Caenorhabditis elegans: one gene and its partners. The protein of the gene in region 2 purifies or fractionates together with the protein of the main gene of each other region. This does not show direct contact. Each region holds a gene or a part of one and is shown on either strand. Other genes may lie near its edges.

What was found.
Region 1: the proteins of isy-1 (region 2) and iff-2 fractionate together in Caenorhabditis elegans (co-fractionation; one large-scale study listed by BioGRID). This does not show direct contact.
Region 3: the proteins of isy-1 (region 2) and cyc-2.2 fractionate together in Caenorhabditis elegans (co-fractionation; one large-scale study listed by BioGRID). This does not show direct contact.

Annotation. Positions count from the first base shown.
Region 1 is NC_003280.10:8,558,927-8,562,632, reverse strand, and holds iff-2 (Eukaryotic translation initiation factor 5A-2), read left to right. Parts: upstream 1-1,668; 5' UTR 1,669-1,677; coding exon 1,678-1,806; intron 1,807-1,860; exon of another isoform or gene 1,861-1,942; intron 1,943-2,392; coding exon 2,393-2,545; intron 2,546-2,621; coding exon 2,622-2,825; 3' UTR 2,826-3,052; downstream 3,053-3,706. Other genes in the region: F54C9.14 (PID domain-containing protein), read right to left, coding at 1-37, 110-205. UniProt on the Caenorhabditis elegans protein: Translation factor that promotes translation elongation and termination, particularly upon ribosome stalling at specific amino acid sequence contexts.
Region 2 is NC_003283.11:10,999,131-11,002,432, reverse strand, and holds isy-1 (Protein isy-1), read left to right. Parts: upstream 1-1,733; 5' UTR 1,734-1,752; coding exon 1,753-1,824; intron 1,825-1,890; coding exon 1,891-1,965; intron 1,966-2,008; coding exon 2,009-2,163; intron 2,164-2,210; coding exon 2,211-2,712; 3' UTR 2,713-2,770; downstream 2,771-3,302. Other genes in the region: F53B7.4 (Low-density lipoprotein receptor domain class A), read left to right, coding at 34-259, 303-441, 491-579, 627-726, 772-877, 1,033-1,211, 1,254-1,444; nssp-65 (Activin_recp domain-containing protein), read right to left, coding at 2,804-3,011, 3,154-3,296. UniProt on the Caenorhabditis elegans protein: Regulates the processing of the mir-60 microRNA (miRNA), which in turn negatively regulates the expression of the transcription factor zip-10. Does not affect the splicing of zip-10.
Region 3 is NC_003283.11:12,611,102-12,614,036, reverse strand, and holds cyc-2.2 (putative cytochrome c 2.2), read left to right. Parts: upstream 1-1,818; 5' UTR 1,819-1,819; coding exon 1,820-1,891; intron 1,892-1,942; coding exon 1,943-2,152; intron 2,153-2,200; coding exon 2,201-2,290; 3' UTR 2,291-2,355; downstream 2,356-2,935. Other genes in the region: cubn-1 (Cubilin homolog), read right to left, coding at 1-278, 658-1,190, 1,245-1,354, 1,398-1,529, 2,401-2,530, 2,581-2,690. UniProt on the Caenorhabditis elegans protein: Electron carrier protein. The oxidized form of the cytochrome c heme group can accept an electron from the heme group of the cytochrome c1 subunit of cytochrome reductase.

The DNA of each region.
Region 1 (3,706 bases), on a different chromosome or scaffold from region 2:
CATCAGCAAGATAATTGTTCACACAATTATACGACATCTGAACAAGAATCCATTTGATTTTTGAATTTTCAGTTTGCAAAATAAACGTTTCAAAATCCGTCTAACTCACAGTGAAAGAAGTAGGATCTTCAATTTTTCGAGTTGCCACAGCTCCATTTTTTGTAAAAATCACTTTTTGTGAATTAGTCTTCATACAAGTTGGCATTTTTAGAAATCGTAAGTACAGAAATAAATTTTTAAAAAACGAACCAGAAGCGGTTGAGCAAAACGTGAAAATTTAAATAGGATAATTTAATATTTTTCAAATTTTTGGTAAATTGCCAAATTTTCCAAAAAAAAAAACGCAATTGAAGTATAAAGCTCGTAGAAAATATGTTTTTGTCAATTTCCTAAAATATGTCCTAAAATATCCTAAAACTAAATAAATCTAAATTTTTCAGCAGCTTCAGTAGAGACTGCAACATCTAATGAGATCTTCGTTGGTGACTACAATGCTCATAATCAGTTCAATCCAAGTTTTTTTAAAACTTAAGCAGGAGCTGAGGCAACAAAAACAGTTGTGTAAAAGTCATGAATATTTAGGTTGTCGGGGGGTTCAATCCATAACTAACTTACCATGTTTTGATATACTTCCTTTCCCCTCAAACTACACGAATGTATTTTATGATAGTTTTTGTAGTGTAATAACTTCTAATAACTTGTCTAATAACTTGTATCTTACTTGTTTCTGCTTTTATTATTAATACATTATAATAAATTCAAAAACAAATTTGTTCAACTTTTAAGTAGGGAAAAATTGAATAATTACCAAATTGAATAGACACACTAGTTGTCAATAGATTAGTAGGTCTGGAACAAATTGGTAAACTGTACATATAGTAAACCATATATAATAAATATATTTACTAACCAGCTCATGAATGTAATTTTAATTCAATGTTTAAAATTAATAAAACTTATCTAAATTGTTTTCATGCCCGTTTTTTAGTATACTCACTTACTACAACTCTTATCTTATCTACTACAATAACCTACAACTTAACTCTTATTTGTCTCCATTTTCCCGCTCCTCTGTCTCGATATGTTCCGTTTTCTCCAAAACTGCAAAATTGTATGTTTGTCAGTGTCTCCACCATTACACCACCGTCTCAACCCTGCAAGACCGGTGCATACACGCTCCGTCGACGGCCACGCGGTTGGTTATTGCCTGCGTAGCGACCCACACACAGTGATGGGATACCGAGTTCAACCGTATTTACGTAAGACCTTCGCAACTGTTTAGGCAACTTTTGAAAGTCTTTTTTTGAAAAGTTTCAGACTGTTTTCTTGTGATTTTCAAGACAAAACTGTGTAAGTATTAGGGAATGCTTGGTTTTTGTCTTAGATATAGTATCTACCTACAATATGCTAAGTTGATATGATAAATTATTGATTGATGATGTTTTTTCTATTTGTCATCATTTTTAGGTTATTATGGTTTAAATCAATTTAGATACATTCAATTTGCTGACTTTTTTGAAATGGCTGTAAAAACTAGTAGATTTATCAAATTGGATCTAGGTCCCCATTTCTTAAGGACTATGTATTTGACGCTTTACTATATTTTTTCTGGTTTTTATTTATTCTTAAATATTGTTATCATTTAAAAAATTAACTTGTGCGTTGTAGGGTACCAATATGTCTGACGATCATCACGACGACGAGCACTTCCACACCGGAGACTCTGGAGCTGCTGCCACATTCCCAAAGCAGTGCTCTGCTCTCCGTAAGAACGAGCATGTCATGATCAAGGGACGCCCATGCAAGGTTCGCTTTGTTTTAAAATGTTGAAAAATTAAATAAACTTAGAAGATGTTTTGTGAAAAAGTGCGATGAATGACTTGGATAAGTTTCGGCTGAAACTTGGTGATGCCAACTTTTTAAAACTGCTGAGCACTTTTTCTCAAACAAAAACCCAATAAATATGAAAGAACTATATATATAGTTATATAAACTATTCACTCATAGTTTTTTACAAAAACTGAAAGCTTACCAAATTGATAATTAATTCCAAAACAAAAAACTCCTGAAATTATTTAGCTCACAAAATACCCAGATAAGATGATATGATTTAATCCTAAAAACTGTTAGTCTAAACATTAGATAGGCCAGATATTTATATTCTCAGAGGCGAGTGAAGAGGCGGATCAGAGACACCCCGCCATGCTTTTACCGGAAGGAAATTCTAAGACAGTTAATTTGAATTTTAGTTCTAATTTAAATATTAACATTTTAAAATTGCAAAAAATATTTGAGGAATAAAAAAAAAGTATACATACAATCGTAGCACCATGCTTCTAGAATGTGGACAAATCAACTTTGCGTAACCATAAAAGTTATCTGAAAGTTGTAGATCGTCGAAATGTCGACCTCCAAGACCGGAAAGCACGGTCACGCTAAGGTCCACATGGTCGCCATCGACATCTTCACCAGCAAGAAGCTTGAAGATATCTGTCCATCCACCCACAACATGGATGTTCCAGTCGTCAAGCGTCGTGAGTACTTGGTAGGTTTTCCAAAATTTCATATTGCTAAACTATCACTAAATTTTTATTCAATTTTCAATATGCTTGTTCTTTCAGTTGATGGCCATCGATGACGGATATTGCTCCCTCATGGACCCAGAGTCCTGCGAGCAAAAGGATGACCTCAAGCTTCCCGATACTGAGCTCGGACAACAGATCCGTGATGCTTATGAGAAGGACGAGGGATCCGTTTTGGTCCAAGTTGTCTCTGCTATCGGAGAAGAGGCTATCCTCGGATGGAAGGTCAGCACCAAGGAATAAATCGTCAAAGGAACCCCCTGCCAACTGCTCATGAATCCTGATTCCCCCGTTCCACCCCGCAAAACTTTCACTGTATGAATGGTGCTGCTTGACATTCCATTCCAGAATTCAAGTATAACCCATCATCAAGTGCTCGTGTTATTTTTCTTGTTTTCATTAACTTTTTTTTTTGCTTTTTTTCAAAACATAACTGAGAATTTAATTTCAAATAAATTATCAGAAAATTTTGGTTTCCATTTTATTTAAAAACTATCAATCCACCTCCATGAATTCACTCGTTTTTTCTTTTGCCTTCTTGTTCCATCATCATCCGTAGGTAATTTGTTTCTGTTCCATCATCTCACACACTCTCTCTTATACACGCACAACAATTGACTAAATTTGATTTATAAATGAAGTTGCACGGAGAGTTGCTTTTCGATTCACTTTCATTTGATTCTGAATCTAGGAATAGTTGAAGAGAAAAGAAGCGATTTCATTTCCGGTACTGGGAGATATCTGACCAGAATCTTAGTCAGATGCTTCTTTTGTTTTTCGATTGACTAGGAAATATGTTACTAAAGAATAATTCCTAGAGTTTTTAAGTTTTTCAGTTCTAAACGCTTTCCTATAAACGCAATCCTGGAAATGTTTAATGACTCGTAAAGCAACCGTTTTTGACAAGAGACACCTGTGATTTATACGTTTTTCAAGCTTCATCAAAATAGTGCCTAGAATTTCCATTCGTTCTTTCAACTTTCAGTCTGAAAAGAAACATATCGATGTATCTTGTTAGGTTATTTTGGCTCACTTTTATAAAAATATCTTCACTTACTGGAACGGTCATATTGTTTTTTTGCGTACTTATACCTTTCTCTGCTTGACTTCAAAACTTAATTTTA
Region 2 (3,302 bases):
AAAATGAGATCATGAGAATTCGTAAGTTTTCAGAGCATACGTCGATGATATTTTAATGATAACAACTGATGATTACTTATCTGTTGGGCAAGATGAAACATCCGAAGTTTGTGAAATTGAAATTCAAAGTCTAAATGGAAATCTTATACTTGTTTCCATTACCAATTTCCTTATGTTTTCCCATAGAAGACCACGGAATCCAAATGAAATTATATTACGAAACTCTGATATGCAGTTCATTGTGGACAGCAAGCCAAAGGTTAGATTACCGTAACAGTTACGAGAAATTATTAAAATTTTAGGGTTATCAATTAATGAAAACTCCAGTATGGTTGACAATTCCAATGAATCTGAATTTCCGATCGATTTTATTGTTTTCAAATCCAAAGGAATGCTCTTCATATGAGTCTATCAGATGTCCAGAATACAGCCTATGCTACAGTAACCTCATTTTTCACACAAAAACTGTTTTACCATTACTGATTTCTAGATTGCTCCAAATACTGTTTTTCTTCGAGTCTAGAATGTGATGGATTGGATACTTGCGGAGAAGATGAATCAACTTGTGCATTTATTACTGTAAGAAATGGTTTCAGAGATTCGAAACATTTATTTTATTTTTACAGCCACGTACACCTCACACTTCATACAGATATGGTAGAGATGCTTTATCATCAAGTCAGATTATGTTAATTGGATTCTTCGCTTTAAATGGATCATTTATAGGTGGATTCACATTTTCGAAAAAAAAAGATAACTTTTGGTTTACAGTATTCTTTCTGATATTATCACTATGTTCTGCCGGATTGTTCTATCGTTGCCCATTTTATGCCAAAAACAGCAACGCGTCTCGGCACACTTTTATTCGATATCTTCGGTGAGTCAACATGTCTGAAGTAGTATTATATTCAAAATAAATATCCCATCCGACACAAATAAAACAACTTTTTATGAGCTTAGAGCGTCTGAAAGATTAACCATAAAGCTCAAGGAAATACTTCCTTATTTAGTCTTAATTCTATATTATTGTAGACAAGCAATTCCTCCTGCACTTGCTCCACCACCTTCAGTTCAAGGGGACCAACCAAAAGATGAAGGAGAAAAGACATTAACTGTTCCGTCTACACCTACAGGTCATACACGACATCGTCATTCAATTCTGAGCAGGATTAATTTTCAACCTGCTCCTGCTTTGAGTGAAATTGAACCTGGTATTTGACAAAATTAGCTACTAAAACCATAATTTTCTTTAGAAGTGGAGGACAGAGAGCAATCACCACAAGAATCAATTTGTGAACCACCTGCACATCAGCCAGAAGTATTCCTTCGACGGCAAAGTCTTCCATTTGGACTCACTGCAGTTCCAGTCTCAAATGATTTAAATTCCAAAACTGATGATAAACGAAATAGATTCGCTTCAAGAGCTATGTCTTTTCAACATTAAATGAACTTATTTGTAATAAAGCTTTTACATTTATGATTTGTTTTCAATCAGAAAGAAACACTTTAAAAATTGCTCAATGATTGAAGGGTGTAAAATATTGAATTTGAATAACCGCCAATTGCTGCACAACGATACTCCGCTATTGCGCGAAAGTGCGCTCTATTTAGAAAATTTCATTTTCAAACATTTATTTTTTCGAAACAAAAATGCTCAATTTACTTTATATTTTTGTTTGATTCTGCTTTTATATCTTTTTATTTAATTTCGCAATTAAATTTAATTGTTTCAGACTTACTCGAGCTTTAAAAATGGCCCGAAATGCGGAAAAGGCTATGACGGCGCTAGCACGATGGCGAAGAATGAAGGAGGAAGAGGAGAGGGTAAGTTTTTCTTTTCATTTTACTCTTTTTTTTTGAATATTAATATCAAGATAATTTTAATTGCAGGGTCCTATTGCCAGAAGACCCCACGATGTGAAAGATTGCAGGAATTTGTCAGATGCTGAGCGATTCAGACGAGAGGTTAGATTTTGTATGAAAACCTGTAATTTTGAACTTTATTTAGATTGTGCGAGATGCTTCGAAAAAGATCACAGCTATCCAAAATCCTGGTCTCGGTGAATTCAAGCTTCGGGACTTGAATGACGAAGTTAATCGACTGATAAAACTGAAACATGCTTGGGAACAACGTATTCGAGAGTTGGGTGGTACGGACTATCGGTAAGAAAAATGACAATTAGACATATTATTCTTATTATTATTTTCAGAAAGTATGCACAAAAAGAACTCGATGCAATAGGGAGGGAAACGGGCAATTCCCGAGGTTACAAATATTTTGGAGCTGCAAAAGATCTTCCCGGTGTACGCGAACTATTCGAAAAAAGCACAGAAGGTGAAGAACAACGACGCCATCGTGCTGATTTATTGAGAAATATCGACGCTCACTATTTTGGTTACTTGGATGACGAAGATGGTCGCTTAATTCCTTTGGAAAAACTAATTGAAGAGAAAAACATTGAACGAATCAATAAGGAGTTTGCCGAGAAACAAGCTCAAAAGCAACAAACTGCTTCCGATGCAGCACCTGAAAATATCTATAAGGTCGAAGAAGACGATGACGACGACCTGGAAACTCAAGAGTCTACAGTCATCGGAGAGGATGGACGACCAATGACTATTCGTCATGTTCTACTGCCAACTCAACAAGACATTGAAGAAATGCTTTTGGAACAAAAGAAGCAAGAACTCATGGCTAAGTATCTGGATTGATTCCTTGTTTAATTTATTTTCTTTAAATTTTTCATCTCAAATTATGAATTTTCGGTTTTATTCATTTATTTTATTAATTCATAATAGAAAATTACAAAATTAGAAAAATGAAAGAAGATAATACAAGTAAACTGAGCGGCATCGTCGTTCGTGATGATGTGTTGCAGAATTCTCTGTGCGAACACATACACGCTATCTCAGATAACGATATCCTTTTGCAACCTTCTGGATAGTATGTGTGAATAAGTGTATCGTGAGGAAGGCAAGTGAGAGCAATTGAGACTCTGTTTAGATGGTTTCTGAAAATTAAGTTTGGAACTATTCAAATATAGAAATTGATTTTAAGTCAAGGTTTTGTAAGGTTATTTATTTAAATTTATTTTTGGTTAAAAAAATAGTTTTCCATTTGGATGGAAGGTTAAAAATTTGAGATCTTCCAACCTCTGAACTCGAAGACAAGCTGCTCCTTCGCACAATGAGCATGTATTAGATATCGCACAATCTGAACCGTCAAGGCACCACATCTGATGACTGTCACGACACAGAATTACAATGACAAGAAGAATTGAGACGCCGACGGTCATCGGCGC
Region 3 (2,935 bases), 1.6 Mb from region 2:
CTCTCCAATTCCGTCACCAACATATCCATCTGGACAGTAGCAAGTGTAGTCTCCAACAGCACTGTATCCGTCGTCAGTTACCTTGCATGTTGCTAATTTATGGCATTTGTTTTTGACACAACTATCATCTTTCACACAATTTCCTCCATCGCCGGAGTATCCAGTCGGACACGAATCACAATAATAACTGCCAAGAGTGTTATGACATTTTGAAAGCGGAGAGCATACACGAATTTCACCTTCACATTCGTTGACATCAATACAAACATTTCCATCGGCTGAATTTATTTTACTTTTTGGATTTCAATGACAGATATTCAGTACATTTTTCGACACCTTCAAACTAACAAATTCTGATTTTTCACATTGTTAAGCCGAAGTTTATAAGACTTTCTCTCCTCATTCTCGGAACTGAGAAATCCAAACAAGTATTTTCACAAAAAAAGCTTGAAATTTGTAAGTGTTATACAGGGTAGGCACTTGTTCAGGCGTACGTGTCTACCTCATGCCTACCACACACCTATTGACCTATTTAAATGCCTACTTACCTATTTTATGAAAACGTTTTGGATACGAGTATATATTTTCTAGACAAGAATTAAACCAAAAAAATTATTTTATTTTTGATTTGATTGAACATATATAATTCTAACTTACTTTTATATCCTTTTGGACATCCGGAACACACAAACGATCCAGGCAAATTAATACAATCAACTCCTGGATGACATGGATTTGATTCGCATTCATTGACATCAACACACGTTGGATTGTTCTTATCACTTGAAACCTTGAAACCCCAATCACAAATACACTTGTACGTAGTTGTATCGGAAGATGACTGACCAGTTGGATCCACAATACTCTCAATACAATGCCCATGTGGACCACACAATTCAAAAGTTTTCGAGCAAGCGGACATATGATACTGACAAAGAGATCCATGATATCCGGATTGGCACTGACATTCAAATCCGCCACGGTTATTGATACATGTTCCATTGTTCTGACATCCAGCAGTTGTACCATTGTATACTGAGCATTCATCGATGTCAGCTTCACAAGTTGTACCGGTGAAATGTGGAGGACAAAGACAAGTGAATTTGGCGCCAAAAGATGGGATACATGTGCCTCCATTACTACATTTGTTCGGATCGCACGCGTTTATTGCTATCAATTTGTTGATTCCTCTTGAAAGTTAACAATTTATAAAAAATAGTCAAACCTAACTTGTTGTGTCTTACATGATTTGACGTGTCATTTTCACCAATAATCCCCGTCTCCTCATGTCTCTGGCCATTTTATCAGTTTTCCACTTCTTCAAGATATTCACTTCGAGTGTCATATTTCGAAGCTAAAAATTGATTTCAAAAAGAGAAAAAAATGTATGGAATTACCGCTACTAGATAATGTTTTGCAGAATTTAAAACCACTCTCATTGCAGAAGTCTGCGTGTCCTGGCGACTTTTCAAAGTGGTGAACATTTGAGAAGTGTTCTCAATACGTCCAACAAGTTGCTTGAAAGATGCCTGAAAATTATTTTGAATATTGAAAATTGTAATTCGAGTTAATTTTCAAAAACTTCCATAGTTCAAACATTTTCAAACAATTATTCATTTTGAAAAGTTTTATAAAAATAATAGAACTTAATTATCAAAATTTACGTGACCGTTTCTCAGGAAAGTGATTCTTTTTAAATAGTTGTCAAAAAGTAAATTTTTGCGTGATCTCCGACTATCTAATTCCAACTCTTACTCGTAATCCACGTTTCGTTCCTTTTTCTAATCTGACCGTCTATGTTTTAATCAGTTCTTGAAACATGGGCAAGAAGAAGTCTGATACGGCATCCGGTGGAGCTATTCCAGAAGGAGACAATGAGAAAGGAAAGAAGGTTAGTTAAATTTTTCATTATAGTGTTCCCAGAAAACCTATTGATTTTCAGATCTTCAAACAACGTTGCGAGCAATGTCACGTTGTCAACTCATTGCAAACAAAGACTGGACCAACATTGAACGGAGTGATTGGAAGACAATCCGGACAAGTTGCTGGATTTGACTACTCGGCTGCCAACAAGAATAAAGGAGTTGTATGGGACAGACAAACACTTTTCGACTATTTGGCTGATCCGAAAAAGTACATCCCCGGAACTAAGGTAGGATTTTCTAGGAAGTGCGATGGAGTATTAATAAGAAATTTTCAGATGGTCTTCGCTGGTTTGAAGAAAGCTGACGAACGAGCTGATCTCATCAAATTTATTGAAGTGGAAGCTGCCAAGAAACCATCGGCATAAGCCTCTACTAAATAAGAAATCTGTGTGTTAAGCAAAGCAACGTATCAAAAATAAATGTTTTGTAGAAGCTCGTTCATTTTTTTTTTGGATAATTTCAGCAGTCTACCTACAATATCTGGAAGTTTGGAAACATCTGTTTCGTCCACATATATTCTTCCATTTCCAGTCGTTTTGAACGTTATATTTTTATCCTTTCCGGCATGCAACCACACATTTCCATCAACCATTAGAATACGTGATCTGAAATGTTTTCGGACGTAATTTTGAAAAAAAATTAAAGGATTCGTTACCTTGTTTCATATGAATCTTCGATGTGTATTTCTTCATAGTCAATTGAAGATACATGATTTAATAAGCCGAATAGTATTAATGAAAGAAATAACTGTAAGTTAGGTATCATTTGTTGCGAAAATGAAATGAAATTAATGGAGTTGCACGGTGGAGGGTGAATAATTTGTTTATGTCATTGATACCTGATTGGAAATTGAGACGATCCATTTGTTTATAACAGATTATGTAAGAGAACACCTGCCAATGTTTAGGTTATGAGTAACTAGTGGGCCGTTGAATTTGTGTTCGGTTTTAATGAAAAAACTGTTAAGCTGGCTGAAACTCAGGTATCAAAATATGATGGTGTTGAATACT